Linked DNA regions of Xenopus tropicalis. The protein of the gene in region 1 interacts with the protein of each later gene in a pairwise test. Links are inferred from orthologs where the notes say so. Each region holds a gene or a part of one and is shown on either strand. Other genes may lie near its edges.

Evidence for each region. The genes of interacting proteins can lie anywhere in the genome.
Region 2: the proteins of tsc22d1 (region 1) and aplp1 interact in a two-hybrid assay, tested with the Homo sapiens proteins (2 studies listed by BioGRID and IntAct). The link is inferred for Xenopus tropicalis from reciprocal best matches to the Homo sapiens genes TSC22D1 and APLP1.
Region 3: the proteins of tsc22d1 (region 1) and ccdc90b interact in a two-hybrid assay, tested with the Homo sapiens proteins (2 studies listed by BioGRID and IntAct). The link is inferred for Xenopus tropicalis from reciprocal best matches to the Homo sapiens genes TSC22D1 and CCDC90B.

What each region holds. Positions count from the first base shown.
Region 1 is NC_030678.2:133,681,768-133,685,860, reverse strand, and holds the start of tsc22d1 (TSC22 domain family protein 1), read left to right. Parts: upstream 1-1,285; 5' UTR 1,286-1,299; coding exon 1,300-4,046; intron 4,047-4,093. UniProt on the Homo sapiens protein: Transcriptional repressor. Acts on the C-type natriuretic peptide (CNP) promoter. Acts to promote CASP3-mediated apoptosis.
Region 2 is NC_030683.2:128,757,409-128,761,655, forward strand, and holds the start of aplp1 (amyloid-like protein 1), read left to right. Parts: upstream 1-1,439; 5' UTR 1,440-1,694; coding exon 1,695-1,763; intron 1,764-4,247. UniProt on the Homo sapiens protein: May play a role in postsynaptic function. The C-terminal gamma-secretase processed fragment, ALID1, activates transcription activation through APBB1 (Fe65) binding. Couples to JIP signal transduction through C-terminal binding.
Region 3 is NC_030678.2:170,735,481-170,739,639, forward strand, and holds the start of ccdc90b (coiled-coil domain-containing protein 90B, mitochondrial), read right to left. Parts: upstream 2,809-4,159; 5' UTR 2,733-2,808; coding exon 2,597-2,732; intron 909-2,596; coding exon 786-908; intron 1-785.

The sequences.
Region 1 (4,093 bases):
GAGCCATGTGTAACACTTAGGAAAGAAAGAACTGAGGCACGGAAGCCCACCAGGGACACAACAGGTGCAAGAGGAAAGCTTCTCCTGACAGGACTACCTGCCCAGCCACATTTTCTTTCTATGACTACTCGACTCCATTGGCAGACAATGCGGCCACGTGGCTAGGGCACAGCACAATAGCTTCCCAGCCACATGCACTCAGCCGGTCCCACATACACACTGGACACGTCTTCCCCAGTCCTGCATTAACGTCACCACTGCCGAAACCCTCGCCCTACACTCCTCGGAACCTTCCGCCACCAATCGTACAGCCTACTGCGTCATCACCAGGCCCCGCCCCCATTCTCCCCTCCCCACTTGCCCAGTTGCTCAGTTCTTTTTTATCAGCGTTCCACAAAGTAGCAGGCGCGCATGCGCGGCGGCCATTTTCCCATACTTCCTCCCGTCAATGCAGTTCTCCGCCCCTTTGACAAGCTGCCTGCCCGGCTCCCAGCAGCTGTCCTCCAATGCCGTGTGAGATTAAAGAGGAGGAGGGAGGGACAGGCGCTGTGTAACAGGGAGCCTGAGCCGAGAGGCACTGCTAGAGAAAAGAAAGGCAGAGTCACGGGGGGAAAGAGACACTAAGAGGGGAGCTTATTAACAGCCGGTCGCTCCCAGCTACTGCTTCGGCTTCCACTCGCCCCCCTTTTCCGTGCCGGAAGGGTGATTTTGGAGTAGCCGAACTGAAAGCAGCCGTTGCCAGCTAGCGCATCCCTATACGGCTAGCGTTCGGCCCCTGCTATACGGATTGGGCCGCTGCCGGGCCCCGGGCACGATGCCTGCTGAAGGCTGTCAGTGATGGCCTCTTCTTTTGCCGCTCAGCTTGTTGCCGACGTTTCCAGATCTTTGACCGGACGCACTACCGACAACGAACAAGATAACCGCGGCTGTCCTGTCATCTGCCGTACCCGGCGCCCGGATCCTGGGAAACTATTTGTGCTGCCACTGCCCCCTGAGGATTGATATGGAGGAGTGTCATTAAAGGGAAGGCGTTTGATCATTGTGATTAAGAGCGGAGTGGGAGGCGGCCGGGGAAGTGGCACCGCATTACATGTATCTGGCTAGTGCGCAGAGGAGTGGGTGACGTCCATCTGCCCGTGTGTGTCTCTATAACATACATAGATACATATAGAGCGAACAGGGCTGCAGCTGTTTGATCTCAGCAGGAGAGCCCCGATCCCCCTTAGTGAGGGAGGCACATCTTGCACGTTTGGAGGAGTGGATGTGGGTGGGCTAAGGGGTTAGAGGAGGGGAATTAAAATGCACCAGCCTGATCCAGCCGCAGATCTTGCTGCCAGGAAGATGGCGCACCCGGCAGATCTGCCCAGAAGGGGTAGTGGGACTGGTGGCAGCTCGGCTGCGCTGCATGGAGCAGTAGGGCCAGGGCTCGCCGGCCACGTCCTGTCTTCAGATGATTACCCTCCTCTGTTGGTGCAGCCTCCGCCTCCCGCCGCAGCTTCATCTCCTGGACCCCAGCAGCATCCTCCCCAAACACTGAATTTACTGCCCCAGCCACTTGTGCAGAGCGGCGCCCAGATCAAGAAGAAAAGCGGCTTTCAGATCACCAGTGTAACTTCTGCTCAAATCTCAGCCAGCATGAGCTCCAACAATAGCATTGCTGAAGATACCGAGAGCTATGACGATCTGGATGAGTCTCACACCGAGGATTTGTCATCTTCTGAAATATTGGATGTGTCTTTATCTAGAGCCACAGACCTTGGGGGTCCAGAAAGAAGTTCATCAGAAGAGACTTTGAATAACTTCCAGGAAGCTGAGACACCTGGTGCTGTCTCTCCTAACCAACCACACCTCCCCCAGCATCATCTGCCACAGAATGTACAGCAGAATATCATGATTAATGGAAGTATACATCATCACCACCTTCATCACCATGGACATAGCCATCCTTCCCAACATGGATTACCCAATGCAGCCATTCCCGGAGGGTTACCCCCAACTCCTGCTTCAGTGAAACTGCCTGCACAAGGCAGTTCTGATAGTGCTGTTACAGCAGTGCCTGTTGCTGCTCCTTCTGTTTCTCATCAGCCTGCTGGATCTATACCACCAATTGCAGGTAAAACAAGTGGACCTGTAAGTACTGGCATTACTCCTGCTTCAGGTAATACTAGTGCACCAACTAATGCAAATATTTCAAGTCTGAGTGGTGTAACAGGTTCTTTGCCTAGTGGTGTAAATATAAATCAAAGTTCTGTCACAAGTACAAGTAATGTAGGCACTTTACCTGGCAGCCTTAATCTGCAGTCACAAGGCACTACTGGTAATGGTAGCAGTGCTACTTCTGGTATCATGAACAATGTTTCTGGTGCTGCTGCTGCGTCAGCAATTGGACAGAATGCAGCACAACATCAGGCGGTTGCTTCAGGTGCAGCAACATCTAGATTTAGAGTTGTAAAATTAGACTCTAGTTCTGAACCTTTTAAAAAAGGCAGATGGACGTGTATGGAATTTTATGACAAAGATAATGTAGCAGCTGCAACAGAAGGAGCTGCAATCAACAAAGCCGTAGAGAGCATTAAACAAAACCCACTTGAAGTAATGTCTGAAAGAGAGAGCACTAGTGGAAGCTCAGTTAGTAGCAACATCAGCACTTTGAGCCATTATACGGAAAGTGTTGGTAGTGGAGAAATGGGGACGCCTTCCGTACAGCAGCCAGGATTTCAAGGTCTAGGTCCTCCGCAGATGGACTTGAGTAACGCAATAGCTCAGACTATTCCTGCCCCCAGTATGCCACAGAGTATTTCCCAGCCCCAGCTTGCTCAGTTACAGATGCATTCACAAGATGCCAACTTTTCTCCTCAGAAACTAGCAGGGCAGCCTGCTCAAGCTCCATTGAATGCTTCTGCTGGTGTCCAGCCAGCATCAGTTAATATACTTGGTGTGCCATCCTCTTTGGGACATCAGCAGCCAAGTGTTTCTACTTTGATCCCACAACAATTGCCATACACTCAACAGACTCAGCCCATACAAAGTCTCCCAGCTGTTCCACAACAGTTACAATACACGCATCAACAGACTGCCTCTGCCCAGATGACCTCTGGACATGTACCAGTAAATCAAAGTTCTGTTCCAGGGAATTTGCCGGAATACATTCAGCATCCACAAATAATACAAACAGCCATTCCCCCAATGCAAACCAGTTCTACAGTTGTTAATACTGCAGCTGTCCCTGTTGCCCAAACACATGCCATGCAAACCCAGATTCAGTCTTCAACAGCACAAGCTCCAGCAGCAGTTGCTCAAACTCAGCCTGTGGCACACCCCCCGGCATCAATTGCAGCAACAGGTCAGATGTTAGGTGTTAATCCACAAGGTAACCTTCCTGCTACAGTGCATCAAGCAGCTACCCCTCAAGTTGCAACATCTATAATACAACAGAGTGTTCCAGCTCCTTCTTCCCAGGTATTGCCTCCACCACAAGGAATACAGGTTGGTCCTCCTGGAATTCCTCAACAAGTCATTATTGCACCTCAGAGTACACTGCTTCCTGCAAAGCCTCAAAGTCAGCTTATTGACCCTCCTGTACAAGGCATGTCAAACCAACAGGTACCTGCTGTAAGTCCTCTGCTAGCTGCAGCTAGTGTTCCGACTGTTCAGCAACTAAGTACAAGTATACCTTCCGCTTTACCTCCAACGGCAACAACTTTGGGTCCACCACCAACAGTTTCACAAGCTTCAGCAGCGCAAAATGGGAATTTGGGTCAAAGTAGTAACCAAGCACCTGTGATCGCAAATTTACCAGTTGCTCAAAGCTTACCACTACAGTTGACACAGAGTTCAGGCCAGTTTGTTGCACCATCTCTTATTCAGTCTGTGGCAAGCCAGATAGAAGATGCCAGACGTATAATGGAGCATTCAGTAGCTGGCATATCCACTGTTGGCGAAGGAGCTTCTTCAGAAGGTAGCGGTGGTCTTCCAGTCTCTGGGTCCTTGCTTCCACTGAAATCTCTTCCTCTATCAACACCTCTTGTTGATGGTGAAGATGAAAGGTAAGTTGAAATAGAAAGTTAAAAGGTTTGGGTTGTTATCACTTTGA
Region 2 (4,247 bases), on another chromosome or scaffold:
CAGTAACCCTTCCAACACTTTCCCCTGTCTCTGCCCCTATATATTAGGTACCTACCTAGTGCTACCAACCCCTATTTCTGTAGGGAAATGAGAGCAGGGCAGGCAGTAACCCTTCCAACACTTTCCCCTGTCTCTGCCCCTATATATTAGGTACCTACCTAGTGCTACAAACCCCTATTTCTGTAGGGAAATGAGAGCAGGGGCAGGCAGTAACCCTTCCAACACTTTCCCCTGTCTCTGCCCTATATATTAGGTACCTACCTAGTGCTACCAACTCCTATTTCTGTAGGGAAATGAGAGCAGAGCAGGCAGTAACCCTTCCAACACTTTCCCCTGTCTCTGCCCCTATATATTAGGTACCTACCTAGTGCTACCAACCCCTATTTCTGTAGGGAAATGAGAGCAGGGCAGGCAGTAACCCTTCCAACACTTTCCCCTGTCTCTGCCCCTATATATTAGGTACCTACCTAGTGCTACCAACCCCTATTTCTGTAGGGAAATGAGAGCAGAGCAGGCAGTAACCCTTCCAACACTTTCCCCTGTCTCTGTCCCTATATATTAGGTACCTACCTAGTGCTACCAACCCCTATTTCTGTAGGGAAATGAGAGCAGGGCAGGCAGTAACCCTTCCAACACTTTCCCCTGTCTCTGTCCCTATATATTAGGTACCTACCTAGTGCTACCAACCCCTATTTCTGTAGGGAAATGAGAGCAGAGCAGGCAGTAACCCTTCCAACACTTTCCCCTGTCTCTGTCCCTATATATTAGGTACCTACCTAGTGCTACCAACCCCTATTTCTGTAGGGAAATGAGAGCAGAGCAGGCAGTAACCCTTCCAACACTTTCCCCTGTCTCTGTCCCTATATATTAGGTACCTACCTAGTGCTACCAACCCCTATTTCTGTAGGGAAATGAGAGCAGAGCAGGCAGTAACCCTTCCAACACTTTCCCCTGTCTCTGTCCCTATATATTAGGTACCTACCTAGTGCTACCAACCCCTATTTCTGTAGGGAAATGAGAGCAGGGCAGGCAGTAACCCTTCCAACACTTTCCCCTGTCTCTGTCCCTATATATTAGGTACCTACCTAGTGCTACCAACCCCTATTTCTGTAGGGAAATGAGAGCAGGGCAGGCAGTAACCCTTCCAACACTTTCCCCTGTCTCTGCCCCTATATATTAGGTACCTACCTAGTGCTACCAACCCCTATTTCTGTAGGGAAATGAGAGCAGGGCAGGCAGTAACCCTTCCAACACTTTCCCCTGTCTCCGTCTGTCGCTCGGCTCCTGAATATTTCATGCCATTTCCTTCTGGTTTGGTGGAGAATGATAGAAATGTCCGTAGAAGGAGATTGGATGCTGGGAGGAGAGGGAGGAGGAGAAAGGGATAGAGAGACAGAGGGGAGGAGAGATAGAAAGAGACAGAGGGGAGGAGAGAGAGAGAGAGAGAGAGAGAGAGGGAGAGAGAGACAGATGAGGAGGGGGATGGGACACGTCTTTGTATAGCAGAACGAGGCTTGTGAGGAACAGACCCATAGAGATACCCAGTGCCACTGGCAGCCACACATGTACCCACTGCCTCCGTGACACCCAGAGACCCACACACAGGGCGAGCCACCCTAGGGTGCCACAGGCACATCCTCAGCGGCACTGGTCCTCCCTGCTCCATCAGCATCACTCCCCCAGGAGAAGGAACCATGGGTGCATCCGAGAGACTAAAGTCCAGCCTTCTGCCTGCCAGCTGCCTCCTTCTGCTGGGTGCTCAGGTGAGGGGGCTCTACAGGGCCATATTGGGGTGGGTGCTGGGTGGGCGACGTTGCCTAAGGGCAAGGGGTGAAAGGAAAGGTGCAGACAGTGGGCACAGCTGGACTGGGTGGAGCCCCTCTCTATAGTGGCACGGGGGGGGGGGCAGCATGGAAGGATTCAGGTCATGTTTCTATTGGCTTGGCAGGGGGGGTTATTGTGATGAATTGCCCCCACCAACCCAACGCTTCATGTGGCAGCGAAGGGGTTAATTCACGTGTGATGGGTGCGCAGGGAGTAGGTATTGATCTGGAAGCGGGGGCGGATGGGGCATCAGCAGGGGCAGTTGTGCTAGGGCTGGGGGGGCTGGGAGGGGGGGATCCAATATAGATTGAAGGGTCCTGCATGGGGTTAATGTTGTTTTCTTCATATGACACCGATATCCATAATAATCAATAATCCATAATCATAAACCCATAGCCCATAGGGTTGTGCAGCATACAAGGCTTGTCTCAAGAGCTTACAGTCTAGAGGGACACCCTACCTCGCCGGGTGGTGCTAAAGCGTGTAGGCTTCTGTAAAAGCGACATGCAAAATACTGGACTCAGGAGCTCACAATCTAAAGGGTCAAGGTGGCCGCCAGTTGGAAGGTAAAATGGGGGGAGATCAGTCCGTGGCCCTCCAGCCCCCACATACATAGAAATACACATTTATTAACAATGGGCAAAACTGCACCAATGCAGTAACCCGTAGCAACCAATTAGAGGTGTCAGCCTGCAGTCGACAGATATAGTGTAAGTGTAATTGCTGATTGGTCGGAAGGGGTTGGTGCAGTGGTGCCCACTTACCTGTTAGTAACAAAAAATGTATCTGGATTTCTAAAGCTACGGGCCAGGGGCCAATGGCACCTCTGGGCACAAGGGAATGCTGGTTGCCAGGTCTGATTCAGGGTAGTAGGTCCCATGGCACAATAGGTCTCCCCCATTATTTATACACAATAATACGGCCCAACCTTCTGCTCACCCACTGTTGTGTAACTATGTGATTTCTGCCACTTCAACAACAACTGAAGGGCTACAGGTTGGCACCACGGTTACTGTCACACAGTGTTACCGGCCCAGTCTTACCCTACCCACCACCTTGCCTTCATTCCTTATCTTCCCCTACTGTCTCCATCTTCCCCTACTGTCTCCATCTTGCCCTACTGTCTCCATCTTGCCCTACTGTCTCCATCTTGCCCTACTGTCTCCATCTTGCCCTACTGTCTCCATCTTGTCCTACTGTCTCCATCTTGCCCTACTGTCTCCATCTTGCTCTACTGTCTCCATCTTGTCCTACTGTCTCCATCTTGCTCTACTGTCTCCATCTTGCCCTACTGTCTCCATCTTGCCCTACTGTCTCCATCTTGCCCTACTGTTTCCATCTTGACATCTTTTCCTACTGTCTCCATCTTGCCCTACTGTCTCCATCTTGCTCTACTGTCTCCATCTTGCCCTACTGTCTCCATCTTGCCCTACTGTCTCCATCTTGCCCTACTGTCTCCATCTTGTCCTACTGTCTCCATCTTGCCCTACTGTCTCCATCTTGCTCTACTGTCTCCATCTTGCCCTACTGTCTCCATCTTGCCCTACTGTCTCCATCTTGCTCTACTGTCTCCATCTTGTCCTACTGTCTCCATCTTGCTCTACTGTCTCCATCTTGCCCTACTGTCTCCATCTTGCCCTACTGTCTCCATCTTGCCCTACTGTCTCCATCTTGTCCTACTGTCTCCATCTTTCCCTACTATCTCCATCTTGTTTTACTGTCTCCATCTTGCTCTACTGTCTCCATCTTGCCCTACTGTCTCCATCTTGCCCTACTGTCTCCATCTTGTCCTACTGTCTCCATCTTTCCCTACTATCTCCATCTTGTTTTACTGTCTCCATCTTGCTCTACTGTCTCCATCTTGCCCTACTGTCTCCATCTTGTCCTACTGTCTGCATCTTTCCCTACTGTCTGCATCTTGTTTTATTGTCTCCATCTTGTTCTACTGTTTCCATCTTGCCCGACTGTCTTCATCTTGTTCTACTGTCTCCATCTTGCTCGACTGTCTTTATCTTGCCCTACTGTCTCCATCTTGTCCTACTGTCTCCATCTTGTTCTACTGTCTCCATCTTGCCCTACTGTCTCCATTTTTCCCTACTGTCTCCATCTTGTTCTACTGTCTCCATCTTGCCCTAATGTCTCCATCTTGGCCTACTGTCCCCATCTTGTTCTACTGTCTCCATCTTGCCCTACTGTCTCCATCTTGTCCTACTGTCTCCATCTTGCCCTACTGTCTCCATCTTGTCCTACTGTCTCCATCTTGTTCTACTGTCTCCATCTTGCCCTACTGTCTCCATCTTGGCCTACTGTCTCCATCTTGCCCTACTGTCTCTATCTTGTTCTACTGTCTCTATCTTGTTCTACTGTCTCCATTTTGTCCTACTGTCTCCATCTTGTCCTACTGTCTCCATCTTGCCCTACTG
Region 3 (4,159 bases), about 37 Mb from region 1:
CTTGGGGGCACATTTATTATAGTGTCTAAGTCAATATCACAAATTATGTTGGCCATAGCCACCAATCAGATCTTTGCCTTTGTTTAACTTGTAGTTAACCTGAATTTGAATTGCTGATTGGTTGCTATGGGCAACTTCACCAGTGCTGTTGGCTTAAACACCATAATGTGTTCCTTATAGGGTTCCCTCCTGTCCGGTTTTGACCCGGATAGCATGGTTTTTGGAATGGCTGCCTGTGTCAAAACCTCCTGCCTGGTTTCCCTGATTAGGAAAACTGGGCAGGACTCAGTAACATTGACGCGGTGATTGGGCAATCGCCTAGTCACAGCCCTGCCTCCTTCCCCACTCTGCGATGTCACGGCCCTGCCTCTTCCCCGCCCTGCAACATCATGACCCCGCCTCTTCCCCACCCCTATGACATCACCCCCGCCCCCTTGCCCAGCTTTCTTAGCCGGCAGAGCTTAGCCGGCAACCCTAGTCCCTTAACTGTACAATAACACACACATGCAGACTCACACTCAGTCTCTCAGACACAAGCAGATTTAGACTTCCCCCATATTACTGAACTTACTGAGATCTCAAACACCATTATGGGGGCCTGGGGCAATGGTCCGTGCCCTGTTTGAGGGAATGTGCCCCCCTTGCCCCTTACCGTGGGTGCCTATATATTCAGCTGATTGGCACTATATGTATCCTCCTCCACAGTGATCATCCCCCCCGCCCCCATGTACCCTTAGCCGGGCAGTTCAGAGAATAAGAGCCATCAGAAGAGGTTTGGGACTCACCGTGGGTCTCCAGCTCCCTCACTAAGGCATGGGTATCAAACGTCAGCTTCCTCTGCTCCAGCGGCGTAATCTCCACTTGTCTCACATCGTACCCGGCGGGAAGCGCTGCCGAGGTGGCAAACCCTAGGGAAACAGAGGGAGCTAAGGTCACACAGAGCCATAATCACCTGCATAATTCTGTGCTATTATATAGCATCTTATATATCTATTTAGCTTTCACATAGGAATCATGTGAAATAAAGACTGCCAAACTAGACTTTTTTTTGCTAAATGCTTTGTTTAAAATATAATGTACATAATGTATTCTTATGTACAAATATACATATATAAAAAGGAATTCTAGCAGTGACTGTGTATACAGCAGACCCTGTGGTCGCGGGGGGGCCCATACTGCGGGGTCTGCTGTACCCTAGTTTCCCTCCCCGGCCCTTCTACTACCTTTACAGTAATATGGGCTGTGCTAGGAGGTGCGGCGCGACAGGGCCGGGAGGGAAGGGACTGGTCGCTCTGGGCCCCCCTGCAGCAAAATCTTCTAAGGGGGCCCAGCGTGACCATTCTCGCTGAATTCTAGATTATTTATAAAACATTACCATAGCTCTGGAAGCCACAGGGCTCTGTTCAGAAGGGACTGAGGCTGTTCTATGAACCCCAGCACCCAGCAATAAACACAGGCTTGTCCAGCTGGAAGCCAGGGGGCTGAATGAGGCCCCCCAAAGGGATTTTCATATCCCTGAGTCATCTCTAGAGCTACACAGACCTCTTAATTCAATTTGGCCCTGGAACACATGGGTACGATGTATAAAGCGCAGCCAATCCCACCCCCCCAGATTCATCCTACAAGCTCTGAAGTTGGGGGTCGGTTTCATTCCAGATTCTCTTTCAGCCTCCATTGCCATCAGAGCATTACCCAAGGCACTTCCTTATCCAACAGGGCCCCAGGGGCCACAGGAAACAGACCCAATCTAAGGCCATTGTAATAAACAGAGACCGGCCCAGTAGCTGTTGCACCCCCAGGCCGCACATTTTCCATATAAAGATGGAGCAGACCTAACTGATACACTTGCCGCATTCATTTTCCTATTAAAGGACAAGTCAACCCCCAAAAGTTTTTGCCTAGTAAAAGAAAAGATAATTCTAAGCAACTTTCCAATACGAATTTATTATACATTTTCAGTGCTTTAAAAGTTATTTGTAAATGTAATTGCTACTGAAAGCAGCATTGGCTGAACTGGTTGTTACTTTTTAAACAATGTTGCAAAGGTCGGTCTCCCCCAGCGAGTCAGGTCTGTCAGGCTGCTGCCTTGTGTTACATTGTTTCATATGCCGGAGCCCCCAGGGCAGGGAATAGGAAAGGACAGACAAACACTGCTTCTAATAGCAATTATAAATACAAATAACTCAAAAACCATTGCAAACTTGTAATGAACGTATATTAAGTCGCTTAGAATTTTGTTTTCTTTTATTAAGCAAAAACTTATATTCTGGGTTGACTTGTCCTTTAAAATAGAGGACATGCAGTTTACAGTGTGTACAAGTATATTGGAAGCTGGCTGCTGTATGTGCTGCTTTATACAGCAGCATACAAAGGGATATTGTTCCAGGCAATCTGTACAGTTGCAATACACTATATAGCAACACACAAATACACACACTCTAAGGGCATCCCAGTGCAGTAACCCATAGCAACCAAAGACTTGCACTATGATCAAATGTAACTGCTGGCTGGTTGCTATGGGTTACTGCACACCTATGTATCTAACTCCCTGCCACATTGTACCCATGCTGTACCATAATATTTAATACATTGTTACCTTTCTTCCAAGTCCTGTGCGCTGTCCCCTTGTGTCCCTGGGAAGGGTGCAGCTGGAGCTTTTTTCCCTGGAAAAGGTGCAAGTGGAGCCTATTGCCCTGGAGGGACAGATGCCTATAAAGCTGGCTGCCCTTCATCTCATACACTACCTGCTACTACTGAGCAGCATTGAGCAATCTCATTCTACTTCCTGGTTGGCAACTTCCTGTCTGGTGGAAATGCATGATGGGGAATGTAGTTTTTCTGGGTAGCTTCATTGTTCTAATGTAATTGCTCTGTGCATGATGACATTCCCCAGGAATTCTGACTCACGCCATAGCTGAATACTCTCCCTAATTCCGGAGACTTCTTTTCTCTCTCTCCGCCCCAGAATAGGCCCAAGGTTTTTAAAATTGACCAACTGCAAAGCAGTATTTCAGAGTTCCTGTGGCAATTAATGGTTTCTTTTTCTCAGCATGTTGTGAATAATGAAGAGAGTTTTATAAAGGGGATGAAACTCACTATGCACATTATCCCAGTGTTTCTGCCCACAACAGCAGGGGGTAGCCATTAGCCATATTCACTGGCATAGGGCTGGCACTATTATTATTTAGAGTCAAACACACTGGAATACTGTTAAAGGGGACCTGTCACCCTAAGAAATAATTCCATATCCTTTTGAATCAGGCTAGTACAAGTATGGAACCCCTTATCCGGAAACCAGTTATCCAGAAAGAAAGGCCATCTCCCATAGACTCCATTATAAGCAAATAATTCTTACTTTTAAAAATTATTTCCTTTTTCTCTGTAATAATAAAACAGTACCTGTACTTGATCCCAACTAAGATATAATTACCCCTTATTGGGGGCAGAACAGCCCTATTGGGTTTAATGGTTAAATGATTCCCTTTTCTCTGTAATAATAAAACAGTACCTGTACTTGATCCCAACTAAGATATAATTACCCCTTATTGGGGCAGAACAGCCCTATTGGGTTTATTTAATGGTTAAATGATTCCCTTTTCTCTGTAATAATAAAACAGTACCTGTACTTGATCCCAACTAAGATATAATTACCCCTTATTGGGGCAGAACAGCCCTATTGGGTTTATTTCATGGTTAAATGATTCCCTTTTCTCTGTAATAATAAAACAGTACCTGTACTTGATCCCAACTAAGATATAATTACCCCTTATTGGGGCAGAACAGCCCTATTGGGTTTATTTAATGGTTAAATGATTCCCTTTTCTCTGTAATAATAAAACAGTACCTGTACTTGATCCCAACTAAGATATAATTACCCCTTATTGGGGTAGAACAGCCCTATTGGGTTTATTTAAATAACACCAAAAAATGAAAGTGTATAAAAGTAACTAAAATATAATGTGCTGCTGCCCTGCACTGGTAAAAGTTGTGTGTTTACTTCAGAAAGCCTACTATAATTTATATAAATAAGCTGCTGTGTAGCCATGGAGGCAGCCATTCAAAGGAGAAAAGGCACAGGCACATAGCAGATAACAGATAAAACACTATTGTATTCTACAGAGCTTATCTGTTATCTGCTATGTAACCTGTGCCTTTTCTC